Drosophila melanogaster: one gene and its partners. The protein of the gene in region 3 interacts with the protein of the main gene of each other region in a pairwise test. Each region holds a gene or a part of one and is shown on either strand. Other genes may lie near its edges. The genes, in order: CG15580, CG34404, CG3213 and CG14540.

The links.
Region 1: the proteins of CG3213 (region 3) and CG15580 interact in a two-hybrid assay, tested with the Drosophila melanogaster proteins (one large-scale study listed by BioGRID).
Region 2: the proteins of CG3213 (region 3) and CG34404 interact in a two-hybrid assay, tested with the Drosophila melanogaster proteins (one large-scale study listed by BioGRID).
Region 4: the proteins of CG3213 (region 3) and CG14540 interact in a two-hybrid assay, tested with the Drosophila melanogaster proteins (one large-scale study listed by BioGRID).

What each region holds. Positions count from the first base shown.
Region 1 is NT_033777.3:6,054,170-6,059,386, forward strand, and holds CG15580 (uncharacterized protein), read right to left. Parts: upstream 3,368-5,217; 5' UTR 3,322-3,367; coding exon 3,011-3,321; intron 2,886-3,010; coding exon 2,040-2,885; intron 1,819-2,039; coding exon 1,239-1,818; intron 1,131-1,238; coding exon 636-1,130; 3' UTR 543-635; downstream 1-542.
Region 2 is NT_033777.3:15,363,415-15,369,366, reverse strand, and holds CG34404 (uncharacterized protein), read left to right. Parts: upstream 1-1,701; 5' UTR 1,702-1,932; coding exon 1,933-2,220; intron 2,221-2,544; exon of another isoform or gene 2,545-2,568; coding exon of another isoform or gene 2,569-2,703; exon of another isoform or gene 2,704-2,770; coding exon 2,771-3,020; intron 3,021-3,077; coding exon 3,078-3,407; intron 3,408-3,462; coding exon 3,463-3,596; intron 3,597-3,658; coding exon 3,659-3,960; intron 3,961-4,021; coding exon 4,022-4,732; intron 4,733-4,790; coding exon 4,791-4,923; 3' UTR 4,924-5,434; downstream 5,435-5,952. Other genes in the region: CG14868 (uncharacterized protein), read left to right, coding at 1-301, 354-461, 520-607, 666-804, 861-1,431; CG6171 (uncharacterized protein), read left to right, coding at 5,599-5,952.
Region 3 is NT_033779.5:3,516,773-3,521,577, reverse strand, and holds CG3213 (uncharacterized protein), read left to right. Parts: upstream 1-1,926; 5' UTR 1,927-2,114; coding exon 2,115-4,145; 3' UTR 4,146-4,305; downstream 4,306-4,805. Other genes in the region: CG8851 (uncharacterized protein), read right to left, coding at 1-210, 270-1,199, 1,630-1,866; CG17593 (uncharacterized protein), read right to left, coding at 4,603-4,805.
Region 4 is NT_033777.3:25,957,377-25,962,216, forward strand, and holds CG14540 (uncharacterized protein), read left to right. Parts: upstream 1-1,902; 5' UTR 1,903-2,099; coding exon 2,100-3,038; intron 3,039-3,095; coding exon 3,096-3,219; intron 3,220-3,286; coding exon 3,287-4,065; 3' UTR 4,066-4,310; downstream 4,311-4,840.

The DNA of each region.
Region 1 (5,217 bases), on a different chromosome or scaffold from region 3:
ATATCTTGTTTAGAAAAACTTTAAAAGAAATGAAGCCTTCCAATAAAATCACCGCTAGTTAACATTGGAAATTAAGTCTTCAAATGAAGTAATATGAATTGAAAAATTCTTTTAACTAAAGTGTTAAAAGGATTTAACATGCTGTTTTTAGGACTGGTGTTTTAAGTGCTTTCTAGTTTGTTTTATCAACATGGAAATTATACTATTTTTTCCGAGTGTACGCCCACGATTTTATGGAATTGACTGTGGAGCTTGGAAGGCAGAAGTAGCCAGGGGAAGTGGCATTAAATTGGAGACACTGTTGCCCAAATCTCCGCTGCTTAAATGCAAACTGCTCAACTTTGTTGCACTTGCTGTGCTCTGCAATGACCTTCGGTCGAGGTGTGGCCCCCGGAATTGTGGGCGTGGCTCCAAGGCGAACACGTTGCCAGCGACTTAATTAGATCTCAGTTTATGCCAGCGCGGCACTTTATGGCGAAGGTTTAAAGTGACCATTAGGTCGAATGACATTCCAAGCCCTCGAGAATGATAGGGACTATGTTGGACTGCTAAGTGGTGCGTTTAATGCTTTGAAAATATACTCAGAGTACAATGTTATGCAATGTACAATTGTAGGTGGTGAAAAGGGCTACAAATTAGGGAGTTTTGTTCCTTTGCAGGTAGAAAAAGCGATTGCCAGGGCCTGGCAGAAAGACAGACTTCCGGAACTGGTCCAGATCGAACTTGTTGGGTTCGAAAACAAATGGTTCTGTCTTTCCATTTTGAGAGGGGTGCGAATCCTTTGAAGTGTGCGATTCCCTCACTTCAGGCGCTGTCGGCTGGTTCCACCGAGCCAACATTGCCCAGATGTCGCCCTCCTCCTCGACCTCCTTCTTCTCAACGACCACCTCCGGAATGGATTCCTTGCTGGAGCTCGAGAACTTCGGCCGCACCTCCGTGCACCCCTTCCGCCGGGCGAAATCCTCCTCGATTCGCTGGACAATCGGATGGCGGCGCTCCTTGACCACCTTACACAGATTCTCGCCGTGGTGGAGGTTTTCATGAATGTAGTTATTCCGACGCACTATCATGTCCACTTCGAATTCCTGGTCGAAGCTCAGCTCACATTCCCGGAAGTCGGCGTATAGGATCTTAGGATAGGAATGTAAGTTCAATACTCAGTTAAAAATGATCTTCAGCACCCCTTTCGCAAAAGTGGTCATTATCAGCGATCCAACCTAATTCAATGTTATACTTACTCGGGTATTCTTTTCCAGGGATCTCAGTATTTGATTCCCTTGCGAGATGCCAATGTTGATGGCGGCCATTTCGAGGCTCATCAGAGGAGTGTGGCTGCGCAGGAGGGTTCCTATATCACGGGAAAACGAACCCAGGGTGGTGTTGATCCCCGAAATGTTGAGGGCCCACACATGGGGGGTTCCGATAATACACGTTATGAGCGAATGCAGGGCCAATTCATTAAGCGGATTGTGAGCCAGGCCCAGATACTCCAAAACCCCCACTTGCGATTGGCTCAACGCCTCGCCCAGCACAATTGCACAATTGGCGCCCAATTTGTTGTGTTCCAGCTGGATACTGCGGTACATCAAAGGGCGCTTTAGCAAATAGGCCAGGCCTTCGCTGCACTCATCCGTCATTTGGTCATAACCAAAATCCACCTCATCAAGGGTGTCTAAGTTCTGAAGGGCACGGGTCAGGATACGAAACTTCTTCATACTCAGGCGACTGTTTCGAAGCCTGAAGGTCTTGAGGCTCGGTAAGTATTTCAGACCTTTGCTAAGACGAACCATATCACTGTCTGAGAACTTCATATAACGGCTGTAAGGTACAAGTTAAGTTAAGTTTAAGCTAGCAATTTTAATTTAAATGCTGGTGGTAGGCGATGCAGCTGTAGACTCTTGGCGCTTTTAGAACTCTACTTCACATGTATTTATTTGGTTCCATTTATCTCAGAGAAAACATGTTATACAAATCGTGTACAGCACGTTTCACTTCTTCGATGTTGTTTCTTACCATAACATTCTAATTTAAGAGCTTACCTTTGATAGTCTTTTACATCAGGTGGTCCCAAAAACTCCAGCGTCAGAGACATCATATTTTCAAAATATCGTACAAATCCCAGATCAATGTGATGACAATGGTCCTCCGGATAGTCATACCGCTTGATCCGCTCCAGCAGCAGCTGCTTGTTGCGCTTGTCCGGTTTTGTGTCCTCGTCATCACCTTCTTCTGGAGCAACGTTTATGCTGAACACGTCTCGAATGGGCGGTTCCTTCTTCTTTTTCTTCTTTTTCTTGCCCGATTGATCCGCATTCTTCAAGGCGTCCAGTTTCTCCTGGCGCTTCCTCTTGCGCTCCTTGCGATCCTCCCGTTTCCTAGCAATGGCATCCCGAGCCTGCTGGCGGTTGGCGTTGCGCAGATGTCGCGCATTCCGGCGAATTGTGTCCTCGTTCTCGGTTTCCGCACGCCAGAAAGTAATAGCTGCCTCGCTGCTGGAACTACTAGACTTGTGCTCCTCCTCGCCCTCGTCCATTTCCGTATCCGGCTCATCGCTAGATATCTCCTCCTCGTCGGATGACTCCGAGGATATATCCTCTTCAGGCTCGCTCTCCAAGTGCTTAATGAAGGCATAGTCGGGCAGAGCTTGCAGCTTGCGGATGTGCATGGAGTTGACATACTGCCAAACAATTTCAGCCAACTGAGCCAGCCTTCTCTGCGGCTTCACGTTCACAGGACATGATTCAACCTGCTCCACAAACTTCCGGCTCACACCCTCAGCCTTCCAGTCGAACTCGTTCCAGCGCTTCAGGTGCAACGTTTTGTCCAAAGTCTTGCTTAGTACGACGCGTCGCCAAAATCGTTGATCCTCGATCAAATAGCAATCTCTTTGAAATATATATAAAGTTATTAGGGTTTGTAACCATAGTAAATAACGATATAAAGTTAGTGGCGTCAAATGTTAAATTATAGGTTATGTAATGAAAATACTTGTATCCGTTTCGTTACATACCTCAAAGGCAGCTCCACATCCAGTGCGTCGTAAAATATCCTCATAAGCTGGGGACTCGCCTGCAAAGTTGGAGATATGCCTCGAATGCCCAGCTTGGCCAGACTCTTTACGCTCAGATTGACTAAAGTGTTCAAGTTTCCCTCTATAAAGGCCTCCGCAAAAATCTCGCGATTCCGTTCGCTGTATAGGTTCAAGGTCTGATGAGAGGGCTTAAAAAGCTCATATGTGGCCAGAAGGAGGGGATCGGTGGGAGCCCGGAATTTCTGAGCATAGTGCGGTTGCACAACCTCCTCATCATCTTCAAAGTCCATATGGAGTTATTTTCGAGTATGTTTGTTTGTGCGTTGAAAGTCTTTTTTTTTGAAGTTTGTTTCTGAAAGTGATCGATAAGTATAACATGGTTTTAACCCATGTGTTCCAGTGCACCTTAATACATTTATGGAAGTGCCGTTTGTCTATCTTCATACTCCAATGAACATGTTTTATGTTTTAGTTATCTCGCACCTGCCAAACGTACTTCCTCATTAAAAACTGTCCGGTTTTCATTTAAGACACTCTAAATCCCGACCCGAGTGCGTAACAAATGTTTACAACGGCTAATTTAAGAAAACTCGCCTAAGATATTTTCCACTTACGGCGCTCTTTAAGCGTTTGCTAATATTTGCTGCTAATGTCTCGCAAGCACTTGCCAAGCACTCGAAGCAAATTTAAATTAAGCTAACCTAATTGAGAAGCGAAGAGCAGTTTCTTTTTGTGGCCAGCCCCGCTTCGCCCGCCCCGTTCCATTCCGTTTTGGCCAATATTCAGCGCTTTGTTTTGATGGCGAAGCTGCCAGGAGCTTCACCTTGCCGGCTATTTTTCTACCTAATGAAATAAAAATAGATGTTGTTAGAGCTGCTCGCTGAGTGTGCTCGTCCTGTCCGGGTGCCTTTGTGCCTGGATCGGAGATGGCCCCCAGTTTGGAAGTGGTTTCCATAGTGCATGTAGCTGCTCCTGCCAACAAAGACGCTGCACTTAAGAAAACCAAACGACTTTGTATCAATTCTTGTGACCAGGACATATAAAATATTTATATTTTTAATGCATATTTATTATTATTTAATTATAGTGGTACTGTTGATAAGCTATAATATTTTCCCGGAAGAGCTGTTACTTCCTACCTATGTGGGCTATATTCCAGGATGTATCATATAATAAAATGTTTAGTTTTAAAGTTGTAAGGAAATAATTTGGCACGGTGTGCACCTATAGCATTCCTGGCTCTGCAAAGCTTTGTGAATATGCTCAACTTGGAGTATTTCTTCAGAGCAAGTGGAGGAGCCCCAGGTCCCCAGCTCCCAGTACAAATTAAGTGCATGCCAGGACGAAATTCGCCATCCAGCCCACCACTACACACAACACAACCACCGACATCGTCGTTGGTCCTTTTCTGTGAACGACAACTGCATTGCTAAGTGGAAGTTCGACCATGACTTTTGCTTTCGCTTCGTCAATCACCTTTTTATCTGGAAGGACATTACCAAGCCAGCTCAACTCGGATTCGGTCTTACCAACTTGTCCTTCCTCGCATGTCCTTCTCGGACGTGAATGTATGTGTGTATGTGTGTGCCCCAAAATTTATTACAACCTTTGGGAATTCTTTTAAGTAGTTGCTCGATTCAAAATAATTTTCCATTTATCACCGTGATAACAAAACAGTTTTCCCCCAGCCGCAAACCAGAGCGAAAATGGCAAAATAACATCAGAAGCGCGGACATTATGAGTGGGTCGGTGTTAGGTGGAGAAAACTTCACTGCGTGGATGGAGTGTGGATGGGGGCTTGGGGACGGAGGCGTGGCAATGGCTTGGCCAAAATAAAGTGCTCTTCGCAAATCTCGCTGCCGTTGTAGTCGTCCTGGGAGTTGAGCTGAAGACTGGCTGCGGTCGTTAGGGAGTCCGACTTGTCCGACTGGCTCTGATGATAAATGCCGGGCAGCAGGTGATTTAAAATAATTTCGGCCAGCGCGCGAAAAGTATATGTTGCCGGCGCTGTTGTTTTCAAATTTTTGAAATTTACGAGCTGCCGTTCGTCTCACGGCAGAGTTTTGCCTTTCCCCTGAGGCGAAAAGACCAAAAAGTTGGCGCGATTGCTTAACATGTTTGCAACACTGGCTCCGGGGACGATCTAAACCGGAAATGACGCTGCCTCACAAATAGAAATACAATGT
Region 2 (5,952 bases), on a different chromosome or scaffold from region 3:
GCATGGCGACATGGAACTACTCCGGGAGACGGAGGCCAGCAACAAGTCGCGGGTACAGGCAATGGCCAGCGAGAATGCCGCTCGCAACAAGGAGGAGCTGCAGTGGCGTCGTGAGCGGGCAAACTTTATCTGCCACCTGGAGGGCCTCAAAAAAAGGAATGCCCAGCTGGCCTTCGACCTGAAGGCGGTGATCGATGAGAAGGAGGAGCTGATAACCGAGCGGGATGCCTACAAGTGCAAGGCACACCGCCTAAATCATGAACTCTTTGTGGCCCTCAGGGCGAAGAAAACGCATCCAAGGGTGAGTTAACTGATGCTATATAGTACTTACTTGATAGTTATTGATTTTCCAGCTCCTGGACATCGATGGTGTTTTGCTGGAGAACAAGTACCTGCATGAACGTGTGAAGATCCAAGACAGCGAACTGGAGCTCACCAAACAGAGCATCAATAAGTACAAGGTACTGGTATTAGTTAAGACTTATTACCATTTTATTTATTTATATTTAAATCATTCAGACAATGTTGGATGCAAAACGAAAGAAGGGAATTGTAAAACTTGGCGGTGGGAGCACAAATGAGGACACCATTCTAAGCCCCCGGCAAGGTGAGTAATTATATGGTGGCCACCTCTTTCATGCCTTTCTAATTTGTTTGTACCCTAGTGAAAACAATCCTCGAGAGTGGCATTGAGCTGCCTCAGAAAACCGAGAGCTTAAGCGATCTAAAATCCTTGTGTCTGGCCCTGCTGGACAATCTCAACGACAAGAACTTGGCCCTGACGCACCAAAAGAAGACCAACAAGTAGGAAAATCCAGCTGAAAGTTGATATATATTTCATAAACCCATATTTCCTGCAGAATACTGGCTGGCAAAATGACGGAGCTGGAGCAGCGGTGGCAACAACTCCTCTCCGGAAACGATGACAACGCAGAGGAGCAGGAGGAGGACGTGGAATATGGTTATGCGCCTTCGCAGCTGCTCCTCAATGGCTATTGTGCCGCCATGGTAGATGACGCCGACATCAGCAGCACTCCGTCCATTGAGCCAGATAACGAAGGCGTCGCCATTACAGCGGATCATGAAGATTCAAAGAAGCACAAGTCCGTTGAGGCTCTGCATTCCGACGATGGAATGTCCTCGCTTTCAACGGAGTCCGTGGATTCGTCTGTGTACGGTGCAGATGTGCAGCCCGATGACTTCCAAAAGTCTTCATCCGCCACAACAGATTCGGGCAACTGTGGATTGAGCAGCCGCTGCAACGGCACGCCACGAATATCCAGTGCAGTGGCACGGGAACGTATGGAGGATCTGAAGGACCTGCCGCCTCACCTGGCCACTCTGGTCCAGAAAGCACTTCACGATCTGGACATGCGGGACTACGAGGCTATGGTGACGATACGAGCAGAGAATCTGGCGGCTATTCCTTAGAGAAAAACTAGTTCAATTGAGGACTCCCAAAGAAATGGATGAAACCATATCTCAGTGTTGACAAAAGATATAATACATATATATATTACCGCAACAGCGTACAATAAAACCAGATTATATAAAATAAATCACTTTATTCAATCGATATTGCGTTGAAACTGGATATGTACAATAACTATAGCATACAGTTTTAAAAGACGCGCCCAAGTTATCGATAAATAATATGCGGAGTGTTGCATACCGTTAGCATAAACACACTCTCACACACTCTTATTTCTGGGTATACATTTTCTGATAAGAATGCAATAAATATCCCGACTGGTTGGAGTAATTTCGAGTTTTTGAATTAAAAATGCCTTAAGAAAAGTTTTTAATGAGCCATGTAGAGTTAACACCAGTGCCACATATCCTGGGAATGGAGCACCAATCAAAAGTCATCATCAAGCGGCCCAAATCAGGCCAATTCTAGTCGGAAAGTCGTTGCAGCCGCCCATTGCCACCATGTCGAATGATGTGCAGGTCGCCCGGGTGGCCAAGATAGCTACCGATGTGCCGCGTCGCAGTGGCAAGCAGCGTGACTCCAGCGGATTCCAGGGCAAGCACTCCGGCAGCGCGGCTGGCGAGGATTTCGAGTACGTCTTCGGTAGCATTTCGCCGCGCGGTGGAGGACCCGGTGGCAGGCACTTGGTGGGATCCTCCGACCTGGACTCTCCGGAGCACACGCAGCGGGACACCACCGAGAGTGACAACAACATATCCAGCTGCTCCACGCTAGACATTGTCAACAAAGTGAGTAATGATGCCCGCACTGAGAGAAATAACTAGATCTTAAATCAAAAAAATCAATATATTAATTTGCAATGATACATTGGTACTAAACATGATCAAGTTCATTTTAAATTAATTTTTAAAATGATCACAAAATATTTAAAAATACCTCATTATTGTGTAGTTTAAAATAAGAAACGCAGAATTTTCAATCATTGGTTTTCAAAGTGTTTCGGGCTTTAAATTCGGTTGGCGTCCAGTGCGCAGATGCGTGTGGAAGGCTGAGGGTCAAGTTGCAGCGGCGGAGAGCGCGGATGCATCCGCGGTCGGATGACGACGTAATCGCCAGTCAAAATTTTCCACTGGACCATGATTTCGGAGCAACTGCTTCCGCGCAGCTTGAGCTGCCTGTGCTGCAGCGATACGCCATCGGTGCCCAACGACAAGAGACGCAGTTGGGAGTATACGCTGATGGCTCATCCTCTGGCCAGACGGCCCATAAACGTGATGACCCCAAGAATAACCACTTAGAAAGCTCTAATCCGCCTCTTTTCTTTTGATTCACCTCCAGGTTGAGCAACTGTCGGTACAACAGCTAGAAAACCGGGTGCGGGATCTAACGCAGCGTCTGCAGCAGGCGGAAAGACAGCTCACTGAGAGCAACACAGAGCGGGAAATATGCCACAAGCGCTTGGAGGTTGTCAGCCAGGCCCACGAGTGTCGCATCACAGAGATGCACTGTGTCATCGCCGAGTTAAGCAAGAAATTGCGCAGTAAGCAGGACCACGTTATCATGGAGGAGCAGGAGCCCGACGGCAGCGGTGCGTAGCAGTTTCAAATGAGGGAAACAAACCCCTAACCGACAGTCTTGTTTTCAGAACTCAGCTTTCAGGAGGGTTCAGTGTACAATTCCGAGCTTAACCTCACCAATCCTGATGCCGAATGTCAAACAGAACCACTGGAAGACTTCGAGGGCGCCTGCAGTACCACCAGCGTGGGTAACGTTGCCCACAAACCGCCGGAACTGAGCCATAAGGGACAAGTGGAGGCACTGCAGGAGGAAGTTCTGCACTTGAGAGCTCGAATCGCCCTCCTCCAGTCCGAGATTTCCACCAAGGATGCTGCTGTGGTCGAGGAACAGACCAAAGTCGCCTTCGACTGCGAATCGGAAGTCAACGAGTGCGGACAGCGACTGAATGATTTGAATGGTAATATAAATAATCCTGATGATAAAAGAATGGTTACACATTTAGATGCTTTCAGTTTGCACTTCCTTGACAAGTCCGCAAAAACGCATTCCAGCGGTACCGAAAATGGCTGAACGGGTTAAGTTGCGGTGCGCCAGCAAACATGAATCCGGAGAAGATCCATCCCAAGATACTTCATTGAGCAACGAGGTGTGTTGACCAAAACTTTATTCAGAGAATACATTTCAACCCATACAACCCATAATTTTAAGCAAATTAATCTGGTCGAACATTTGGTGTCGGAGCTAAAGGAGCAAAATCTATATATGGAGAACTTTATGGAGCCCCTACATTTGAGCAAAGACTTGGAGCGACTGCAACGACGTGTTGAACAATTGGAGATGCGAAACACCATGCTGGCACTGACGCTAGACGAATGCAAGGAGCACACTGAGCATCTGTATCTGCTATGCGGAAAGTACGAGTCCAATGCGGTTGCTCTTCAGTTGGCGCTTAATTGCAGTGATCGCGCCATCGAGGCCTACGACGTAATGTTGGCTCTGCTCGAAAGCAAGTAAGTACAATCACCATAAGACGCGGGTTGTTGTCCCTATTTCACAATTCATCACTTCCAGGTTGGCACTGCTGGGGGAGAAATCAGTGGCAGCGGAAGAGAGTCGACGATCGGTGGAGGCGGTGGCCAGGCACCTGCTAGCCCGTTTGGATAGCGAGAAAAACGTTTGTGAGAACAGCCTGGGACCGTGGCAACACAACATCAACCTGGGCCCAGAGGATGCCCCAAAAACTGGCCGCCCGTGGTGTGCCGACGACGACAACCGCCTGCGTTACCACGTCTCCAAGCTGAAGGGACGTCGTTCCAATGTCCAGCATACCATTGTCAGTTTGGAATCACCCTTCAGCGACATATACGAAAGAAAGCGCCTGGCTTTGGAAAAGGAGCACGAACTTCGGAGCGCGGACAAGAAGTCACCCATTGACTTGGAGACAGCAGTGATTATGCAAGAAATACTCGAGCTGCGGGATTCGAATTTGCAGCTGAAGACAAAAATGGAAGAGGCCGAGCAGGAACGGCAGAACGCCAACGAACGAGTGGGCATACTCCACGAAGCCCTAAAGCAGCTACAGGCAAACAACCGGGTCTCGTATTCGGAGGCGGAGCATGCGGCTCTCACAGAGCAGCAGTTGGTGGAGGCCTTAACTCGAGAAACGGAGCTCAAGGGTCGCATACAGACGCTATTGGCAAATGTAACAGCTTCGCAGAAGGCCTTCGACGAAAAATACGAGCAACTGCATCAGAACGTGCGTGAACTGCAGAAATCCAACCAGTAAGATTCGTTTTATTTTGACTGTTTCATACATAATTTCTTCATATTTCCCTTTTAGCAATCTGGGCCAAATGTTAGATCACACCAAGCGCAAGTACCAGCTGCGGGTGAGGAAGCTAGAGCAGAAGATTGTTGACCTGCGGCTGGACTACGAGCAAGGCCATAACCATGTTCCTGAGACTACTCTGTAGGAAACGCATGACGACCTTCCAGGAGGACTGAGCAACTGGGCGTGGAGCGGGCGCGCTTGTCACATATCCCGCAAAAGATCTTTCCCTCTCGATCATATCGCTTATTTTACCTTTAATGCAATGACCACCCGCCCAGCAGTCGCCGTGGATCCGCCATGACCAAGACAGTATCACGAATGTGCCATGCGACTTAATTGCAGTCGGCTGGGGCTTGGGCGGTGTCCCTGCCTCGCAGATAAGGCTGCAGTAACTACATACTCAAATACATACATATTCAGAGGTGCCATGAGCAAGGCTCCACCAACCTATCCATAGATCCGTGGGATTGGAGCATCCGTCTATGGGCCACAAGCAATTACATATACACACATACGAATAGACAAACTAAGGAGTTATTCAAGACGCATACACGGGATCCTATATTTATACAATGTATTCGCATTTTGCTTGTTATATGATTCAATATGTATTTAAAACTGTACAAAATATAAAACGTCTACTAAAACTCGATAAAATTCACGAATTTGAAATTGGCTCCAATAATTAATCGATAAGCTAATGAAACTAACTTAAGCATCCATCACCATTTCGTGTAGTGTTGCAAATCACCAGAATCAAGTATATGAGTACTTGTGAAATAAAAATGTTTTGAAAATTTAACTTAATTTACTTAAAATGAGTGCCACAGATGCATCTACAGCCGATAGTGGCGCTAAACGAAAATCTTCTGAAGATATCACACACAATTGCAACGCAAATTTTGGCGCAGAAAACGGCCTAAGAAAGCGCGTAAAATCGGAGGAGCCTGTGGCGTCCATTAAAGATGAAACAAATCCTGAAGTTCCTATGAAAATAAAAGCTGAGCCAGTGGAGAATGCAGATGAGCCCACAAGCACTACTCCTGCGATCAAGATTAAAGCCGAACCAGCGGACAATGGAAACTCACCTGCAGCTGCGATGGTAAAAACCGAGCCCACTAATAGCAATGCACAGGACGCCGCCGACGAGTCTACCGTATCTTCAAGCAGT
Region 3 (4,805 bases):
CTGCTTCTGGGTGCTCATGATGTCCTGGGCTTTCACACACCGCGTGTGGTAGTCCGATATTCTCTCCTGCTGCTGCCGAATGAGAGTTCGAAACTGGACCTGCTCGCTCTTCAGTCCCTTAATGGTGGTAAGGAGCTGGCTTATATCTCCAGAGTCCCTGTCCCTGTCTCTGTCCCTACCTCGATCCCGTTCATGCTTGTACTTCTGATCCTGATTAAGGAAGAAGGTTTAAGTTTTTATATTCCATTTAGCTAACAGCTAATTCATACCTGTGAGGTGTTGATCACATCCTTCAGCACATTGTACACATCCTTGAAGGATGCTGGCTCCCTTTCCCGATCGTCCTGCTCCAAGGATCTCTTCCTGCGCTTCACGTGACGGTTCGCCAGTGTTTCCACAATACGGCTGTCAAAAACGCTGTTCACCTGTGATGGCAGATCGTCCTTGTGCCGATGGTGATTCTGCTGATGAGTACTCCTTTCGGACGCGTATTTCTTTCTATCGATTTCGTCGCAGGAACTCTGGCCCGATAGAACGGTCATGAAACTGGTATTGCTGCGCAGGATTTGGGGGCTCTTTCGTCTGATGGTCGTCTGCGAGGTGACACTGCTGGCAGAGCTATAAAATCCATCCGGATCGGGCTCACTTCCCAGATCCATTTGCTGGGCCTGCTTCCTGCTGGACACGAACTGATCGTGCTTCTGCTGCATTTCGCACAGCTCGTAGTTAATTTTCATGTACTTCTCCTCCAGATCCTTGGTGCTTTCGTTGTAGTCCTTGAGCTCCTGCTTGTACTTGCAGAGTTCCTCCTTTAGCTTGCTGCCAAGGGCTTCCGAGTCTGGCAACCTCCTCTTCGAGCCCAAACCCTTTCTGTAATCTTCCGGCTCTTCATCACTCATGATTAGGCTGACCTCCTTACCTTCCCTGCTGTTCTTGGGTAATTTTGTTATACTGGGACTACAGTGGTCCCCGAAGTCCAAGCTACTGGCACTTCTCGTATCTAGTACTTTGGAGCTCGGCCTGGAGAGGCTGACATAGCTACTCTTTTCATTTTCATCTGCCTGATCTTCGTTCTTCTCATCCAGCTCGAAGTCCAGTCCCATTGAGGTGTTACTAGATGATGTTCCTTTGCGATTCTGTGGACGGAATCGAAGTGATCGTTGTCTGTTGGCTAATGGTCGCCTGGATGGCTTTAACATCTACGAAAATTTAGCCTATTTGGTTAATGTTGCACTTGTGTAATTTTTTGCACTGTTTTTGGCGAACAGAGAATTTTTTTAAAAACCTTATGTGACACATTCAATTCCCAAAAATATTAATTTTACGTAGGACGTGACGAAAATTATTTGATAGAAAATTGGGCGTTACGCCTACTCGAATGGCATTTGCCTTCTGGAAAATATCGCTGTTCGAGGATTGATTATATCCTTAAGGTTTATATAATAGTTTTAGATAATAAACCACATCTCCCAGTAGAGTGATAATTTATATATGTATATTCCTACTGATTGCCCTTTAAATTTCCCATTTCACCGTAAAACATTTTCATACTTTTATGTTAGTAAAGGATACAGGTAGATTCTCATAACATATTTTCGAATAGATTTAAAATTATTTATTAAGATATACCATTTCCTTCAAGTCGCACTGTGTTTTGATTTTGAACCAATTCAAGTAGCGGCAGTAGTAAATATAGTTGTTTGTTTCGCCGAATAGATGCCTCGATACACACTCCTCCCGAAGGACACATTCCTGACCATCCTGGGAGGGAGGACTCCGGTAATCCACCTCGACAAAGCAAGTCCTCGATCCCAATCCAGTTCTCCGGGATCTTTCGTTCGATTCTCCCAAGTCGAAGCAGGCCATTCCAAATCTGTTGCCAACTGCCCAGGGCGAATGTCCGTGGATTTTTCAGTTCATTTTATTCGATCACGAAGAAAACAACTTATTCTTCCCAAAACTTGTTTCGAAATTTTTTCAGAGTATGTGTTAAAATTTTCGCAGAATATACGTACCTTAAAATCGTTAGTAAATCTAGCCAAATATAAAAAAAAAAAAAAAAAAATTTTAACCATACAATTTTTGGCCGCATCGATAAGTGAATCTAAATCGCGATGGCAGAGAACACAGAGTACACCGATGAGGGCGGCGAGTACGAGGACGATGAGAACCAGTACCTTGGCGAACAGCACATGATGGAGGAGGGGCCCGACGAGGACCTCTTCTCCAAGCTGGGCGAGTCCTCCGACGATCCCGAGCAGAAGCGCATGTACATGGAGTACCTGGCGCTGATCAAGGAGATCGATTGCCAGAACAAGATCATCCAGGACATCAAGAGCAACATCATGGACATGTGCGCCAAGCCCTGCAAGACCCGCAACGAACTGCGCGAGATCAAGCGGTTGAGGATTTGCATGGAGCAGGAGAACATTAAGCTGCACACCATGATGAACAGAGCGGTGCAGCTGCAAAACTTCGGCTCCCATCGGCACTACAAGGAGCTGGCCATGACCACCACCGTCGACGAGGACAACCTGTCACCGTATATGTGTGGCATCGGTCCTTGTGCTCCAGCTGGCAGCGCCACGGATCCCTGTAGCGAAGAGCCTAGCTCGTGTGCCAGTGTTTGTGGTGGCGGCGGAGGCGGTGGAGGTCAACGGGACATGGCTGGTCAGGACGACAAGTTGATCTGCGCTCTGCAAAAGGCCATGCAGAAGATGAAGGGCGCTTGTCCTGAGGACAAGAAGATGATCGAAGAGATCGCCTGCGCTATAATGAGCTGCAAGAAGCAGCCGGTATGCGTTCCGGGTCCCTGTCCGCCACCACCCTGTCCGGGTCCTTGCCAAGGTCCTTGCCCGGAGAGCAGCAGCAGCAGCATTGCCCCATGTCCTCCTCCCTGTCCAGCCAAACGGAAGGCTCAGAAGGCTCCCTGCCCCCAGCCCCAGCCCCAGCCACCGGGCAAGTGCGAGTCCTTGGAGAAACTGAAGCGGCGCATCCAATGCATGCAGACCTCGGTGAAGAAGTTGCTCCAGGAGGTGAGCAATCGGGATGCGTCCGAACCCTGTGACGTCGACGACGATGACGATGAAGGAGAGGAGGACCCCTGCTCCAGGCCGTGTCCTCCCAGGCCGCCGTGTCCCGAGGATCCAGACCCACTGGTCATCTGCGGCGGAAAGCGGAACACCAAGGCCGACAAGTACGAGAAGATGAAGGAGAACTACACCAGGCTGCTAACCGAGTTTCAGCGCAAGGACTGCCAGATGAAGGAGATGCAGAAGCGAATGAAGGGTATCTGTGGTCCCTGTCCATCGAAAGGGGGCGACGGGGATGCCGATGCCGCCGAGCTGAATCTACTTCGAGCGCGGGTCAACGAGCTCAAGGAGGAGCAGCTGGAGTTCAAGTGCATCATGAAGGAGCAGTCGCAGCAGTTAGAGGACTACCGCAACAAGTACCTGCTGGCCCAGCAGAAGGTCGAGGAACAGTGCGTCTCCCTAGAGAAGCTGAACATGAACAACAAACGAATCGAACAGCAGATCAACACGGAGGTCAAAGAGATTCGAGCTAAGTTCCAAGAGAAACTGAACGAGTTACTGCACTTCCCCAAGCTCTTAGAGAACGAGCAGCTGAAGCTGGCCCAGGTTTGCAAGGAGAAGGATGAGATGCAGACGAAACTGGTGGTGGTCTGCAAGGAGCTCAAGGCCTGCAAGACGCAGATGGAGCAGCAACCCAACGTCGATGTGCGACCTCAGCTGGCCCAGTGCCAAATGGAACTGACTCAGGCCAGGAATGAACTGGAGGAGCTTCTCCGACAGAGGGATCTCTTCTGCGAACAGCTCAAGTCCACCCAAGACGATCTGGACACTCTGCGAACTGAATCCGCCAAGATCATAGCCGGCACCAAGGAACGGGCCGAGCTGATCAAGTCCCAGCAACAGGAACAGATCAATCGGCTTGAGAAGGAGTTGGCTCAGTGCCGAGCAACTGCCTCGCTGTCGGTCAACGATCGGGAGGCTGTCATCCGCGAGATGCAGGGTCAACTGAACACACTCTCCTACAGCTTCGATGCCGCCCAGAAGCAGATCAAAACGCTGCGCAATCACATCGCATATGTGTCCAACGAAAACTGCTTCCCCGTCAAGTGCTAAATGGGAAGAGATTCGGAACCATTTCGAATTCACATGCATATTCAGCATAAGGTGTCTGTGAAAGATAATGTAGCTTGCGTTCGAAAACCATTCACAAAGCATATAAATCATTTTGTAACGAAAATTTTAAATATTTCAATAAATATATAAGTATTTTGGCAAATACTTGCGTTCCTTTTATATCGTTGAAGTATTTAACCTAATTCATTTTATAGATTAAGGTTACAAAACTTATCTTGCTCAACGAAGAGATAGGCTGCTTATCTGCATTTAAACAGTGTAGTACTTTGTATGATCCAGATTAAGTTGGCACAACTGAGGTTTTTGTTTTGGCGCTCCATAGGAAACAAATAGATATTGCTTTATTCTGGCATTTGAGAGGAACATCTACAAATGGTCGGTTTGTGTACGTTAATGAGGTGCGCTCCTTGCGGCAAATGGCACAATTGAAACAAATCTACAGGGATTTGACGGCCAGTCTCTTCATCTTGGGCGCATTCCTCTTGGCCTGGCGCTTCTGCTCCTTAGCCTCCCAACGGCGCTGCTTCTCTGGGTCCTCGTCGGCCAGAATGCGCTCCTTCTCCTGCTTACGCTTATCCTCACGTCTCTGAGCGGCAGCCTCGGCGCGGGCGGCATGGGTGCTCTTCAAGAACTCCTCCT
Region 4 (4,840 bases), on a different chromosome or scaffold from region 3:
CTCAGTTTAATCATTACTGATTAAATTTAACAAGAAAAGTGCTCTGTTTAGAAATTCTCATTAAATGTTTTGCCATCAAACCAAAAATAGATACCTTAAATCGTGCAAGTGACGTTTTATGGGTGGGCAGTGGCAAAGTATTCGGAAAATCATGAAAAGTCTTGAGGATCTTGTTGACAGGGGACAAATTTATGCGTGAGAGAAATGCTGCAACACTCACTTGCCTTTTAATTGACTGGGCCTGCAATTAAAAATAAAGAAGTGCCAGTGCAAACATTTCGTATTTCATGTGCCTTACGAAAGCTGTACAATTTGTGGTCACCATTTGGATGATTTATCTGCGCCGCGGGGCGACTTTTTTGGGTGATAAATTTCTTGGAAATATCTCCGCCTTAAGCAATTCTAATGCCGAGTCCCATTAAAATTTATCGTTCCGCATAATGCTAATGACTTATATTAATTTTGGAATGGCTCACGTTTTGCTCTGTAAGTCAGTTGGCATTTTGCTGATAATCAGTCCAAACAGTCTATGGCATAGAATCAGTGGCCAATCAAGTCAGTTTGGCCGGAACAACTAATAATGGTGATTATTTTTTGTATCACCATGACAATGTCAACATGAACGTCATTCAGATGGGACTCAAAGGCTTAATGGCAGCTTCTCTGCGCATTTGCAACAAATAAAGCCTGTCTGACCTTTGTTGCTTCCTCGAATGTTGCAATATTTATGCGCACACATGCAGAGGATGGAAATTCAAGGCTCAACTGCAGGCCAGGATCTTAAATTATAGTCAACTGTTGTCGGCCGTTCATGGTTCATTTATATTTATGACTAGGGTACACACAAAACGAATTAAATGAGCTGTTCTTGGGGTCGTTTAGGGGAAGAGAAAATGAAAAGGGTGTACATTAAATGAAAATTATTCCCACAGATATCATCTCGTTCCTAATAGCATTCGCATGCAACAGATTGTCAACAAAATGATTTGCTTGCGGAAAGGGGAGAAGGCCTCCTGCAGTGGGCAGCAGCACACGCGTCGTATGCGCAATTTGCATAATGAGGACATGAGACAAGGAGTTGGCATGGGCATCATGGGTTTTCCGTTTCAAGGCACCGTCCCCACAGACAGATGACCCAATTTTTAAGGGTCCTTCAGCACTTTATTGAGCGCCTTTCTAAATCCCTTTCGCTTTGCATTCCCTTTATGTCTTAAGTGTCTGTAACCTGAGGCTAAGCGGTCTATTTTCAGCAGTCCAGACATGACCTTAAAGCTAGTTGCCTACTTAAGGATTCCTCCAGCGTGGCCATGCCACGCATTCGAATCATTCGCCTTGGATACACGGCAGCCCGAGGAGGTTCAAAGGTAAATAATCGGATAAATATTTGTAATAATTTCTTGAACGATGAACCACTTCCAAGCGAACAGCAAGTGGTATCCAAAACCACTTTCGCACTCACAATCAGATGCAGCTCATTAGCATTTGATTTGGCGTCGAACCGAAGAAATATTTCCGGCAAAGCGGGCAAACATTGAACCTTTGCTCTGTGTCATTGCCATTTGCGGTTAGTTGAGCGGCAAAAGGTAAACAAATTTACGGGAAAACTCCCTCACCACCTGTGGTTTGAATAATGAAGAGGTGTTTGAGGTGTGAAAATAAATTTGGTAGAAACGAAGCGCTGGAGTGAGTAATCAATATGAATGCGATTTAGGTGCAGAGATCTATCATTCCGTGGTAAATATGTATATATTGTACAACTCATACTCTTCGTATAAGGAAGTGAATCAAAATTTGACAAATAACCATAATAACGATTATTTCTGATTATTTTGATAAATGCGAAATGCGACGAAAATGTATGTCGTTAATGTTTCAGTTTATTCACACGAGTAATATTTATCCAATCTATCTATCCAGTAGGCTGGTGTTATAACATTCACTATCTTTCTATATCCCTCATTCATTTTAGCTAAATCATCCAAAGAACATAAATAGATGTAAAATATATCAAATACAGTTTATACATTATTGTGCTTTTGCGTTTATTGGTGCAACTCGAGGCCAACGAAAGTTTGTTTCGGTGAGTAAAGAGCCTTTGGATGAAGATGGTGCGCCCAATTCGTCGCAAGGGAATCGAGGAGGTCTATGGTTCCAAAATGGATTCCTTGCATCCGGTAAAGTCGGTAGCGATATCCCATGCAGGTGTGACCAAGAAAACAGCAAGGGCTGAGAGATCGGGTCCAGGCGGTGCAACTGGCGGTGGAGGAACCATTAGCTCCCGACAAGTCGATGCTCGCACTCAGCGCAGTTTTGTCACCGAAAATGATTACTACATCACCACCAATCTGCCGTTGACGGCGGCCAATCTGCGAAATGCCCCCGGTTCGATGGCGCAGCCATCAATATCGCAAATGATTCCCGGCCATGTCCAGCCATCTCCATATAACGCCATGCCCTCGAGGCGAAACCAAATGGCCAATAAGGCCAGTGCTCGTCAGGCGCCGATGAACAAGGTGCCGCATTTTAGCCCGGCCGAAGGCACGGTAAACCCTAATGGCTATGGCATGTCCAAGTCGAAGGAGACATACCGAATGAAGCACCGCGAAAAGGGCAATACCCAGAGGAACGACTATCCAATGGATGACAACGACGACTACTCCGATAAGGAACTAATGGTGCCCCAGCAGGGAAACATGGGAAATATGCGCCGGCACAATCCGCACTCTCATGCCCATCAAATGCAAATGCAGTTGCAATCCGGAGCAATGCAGCATCCGCCGCAACACCAGCTGCACCAGCAGCAGCAGATGACTACTCACAACCACCTCAAGCATCAGCAACAGCAGCGCCTCCAGCATTCGCAACCGCATCAGCATCAGCATCAGCATCCGCATCCGCATCAGAAGCAGATGCGTGGGCGACAGCCTGTTCCGGCGAGCAAGGTGCACGTGAGTACCGCCGATGACGATGAAGATAAGGAGGAAGATCCTGAGGAGTTCTTTGACCTGATCCGCCAGACTGTCAAAACGGCCGTTGGCGTGAGTTTCGCATAAGTTCCTTAGTTGATTAGTTAATACACTATGCACTTTCTTTAGAACACCATATCCGATGCTCTGGCAAAGAACTTTCGCGATCTGAGCCACAAAATCGAAAGGTTCTCGGGCGAGTTGAAGCAGACAAACGATAACCTGGATAAGCTGCAGGAACAAGTCATTAGCAGTGAGTTTATTTACTTTCAGTGTTTATTTGGTATTTATAATATGTAACTATTTTTTGGCATCTGCAGAGGTAATTTACTTCGGTGAGGAAAATTCGCGACACTTTCGGTACTTGTGCATGAAATCCGAGTACGATAAAATGTTTTACCAGCATCAATCGCTGATGAATGGAAAGCCCACTCAGGAAATGCTGAGTCTTTCGAAGGCGAACTTAGAAGCAGCGGCCTCAGTCAGTCAGAATCTGACACAGAAACCGTCGCATAGTTTAAAACAACAACCAGGAAAAGTGATTAGGAATCAAAGCAAAATGCCTATTAGCGCCAAAAAAGACCATAACGAGTCCCTAATGAACTCCAGTGCCTATCGTAGCATCTGCAAAGCTCAGCAGCCAGTTCTTGCTGCACAAAAGTCGTCATCGGAGCAAAGTTTAGTTGTAAAATCATCTGATGTGGGCGTGCAAGAAGTCCTGGATAATATCCAGCGCTACTGCAATCAGGTGAAGGATATGAATGGTCAGATGTCGGCTGAACTGCCCAGTCTCGAGGACATCTTGATACCCAAGAAAAATTCAAACGGTGGACTTTGTCAGCCAGCAGCCATGAGCTCTAGGACCCTCGCAGGTAGTCAGAAAAATAAAAAGGTTGACGACACGGAGATCGAAACGCCCAACGATAGTACGGATGAGACCTACACCGAAGTGGATGACTTCCAGCTCTCCTCGGACATCTCGACCGGCAGCGAGGACGATGACTGTGGCCTCAAGTATCCAAGTGGAGCAACTACGAGCCGGCCCAACCGCAAATTAAATCGAAGGGGAGCCAACCAAGGCGCCGGAGATGGTCAGTAAAGCCACTGGAGTGAAGATAAAGGAGCATTCAAACTGAAGGGGAACCCATTCCTAGAAATCGCCTTAATACTTATTTAAATATTACTTTTGGCATGACCTAAATTATTTCTGATAATGTAAAGCCAAAAAAAATTGGATCAAATGTTTCGACAAATTAACTATAACTTATCGTACCTGGCGTACATGTATTCATTTAATTCATTTTTAGGATCACAATTAAACTATGTTCAAAATTTAAAACTGGCTTTCATATTCTTATTTATGTTATGTGAACAGCTTACATTGAGCATAAAACTGACCTATTTGGCCCTTGGCAATCCCGATTCTCGCTGAGTAATGCCCATTGGTGTCACTAATAAGTGCATATTATATTGACTGCAAAGCAAGAATCAACTGAGCTGGCCAAAACAAGGCATCACCCCCATCCGGCAACCGGGTAAAACTGAGTCGAGTGGAAAATAAGGCCTAAGACCACCCCCACTAGCCCTAACCTGCAGCTGCATTTTTATGGGCTTACGAGTGTCGCGGCTCTGCAAGTTCTTCCGCTAGTTCAGTTGGCCAAAACAGTTTAAACGTGGACGTGGTCCGTCGGTAAGATATTGGTGCGTCTATTCAAAGTAAAATGAGTATTTAAATAAAAAGCCAAACAGCTTAATAAGGCCATATAGTTGCTTTTTGGGCAATTAAAGTTAAACCCCCTAAAGGAATTGAGCTCTAAATTAAACTTATGCAACGTGGCCAAATGAAAATGCTTACTTTTCAACTGATGTTGCGT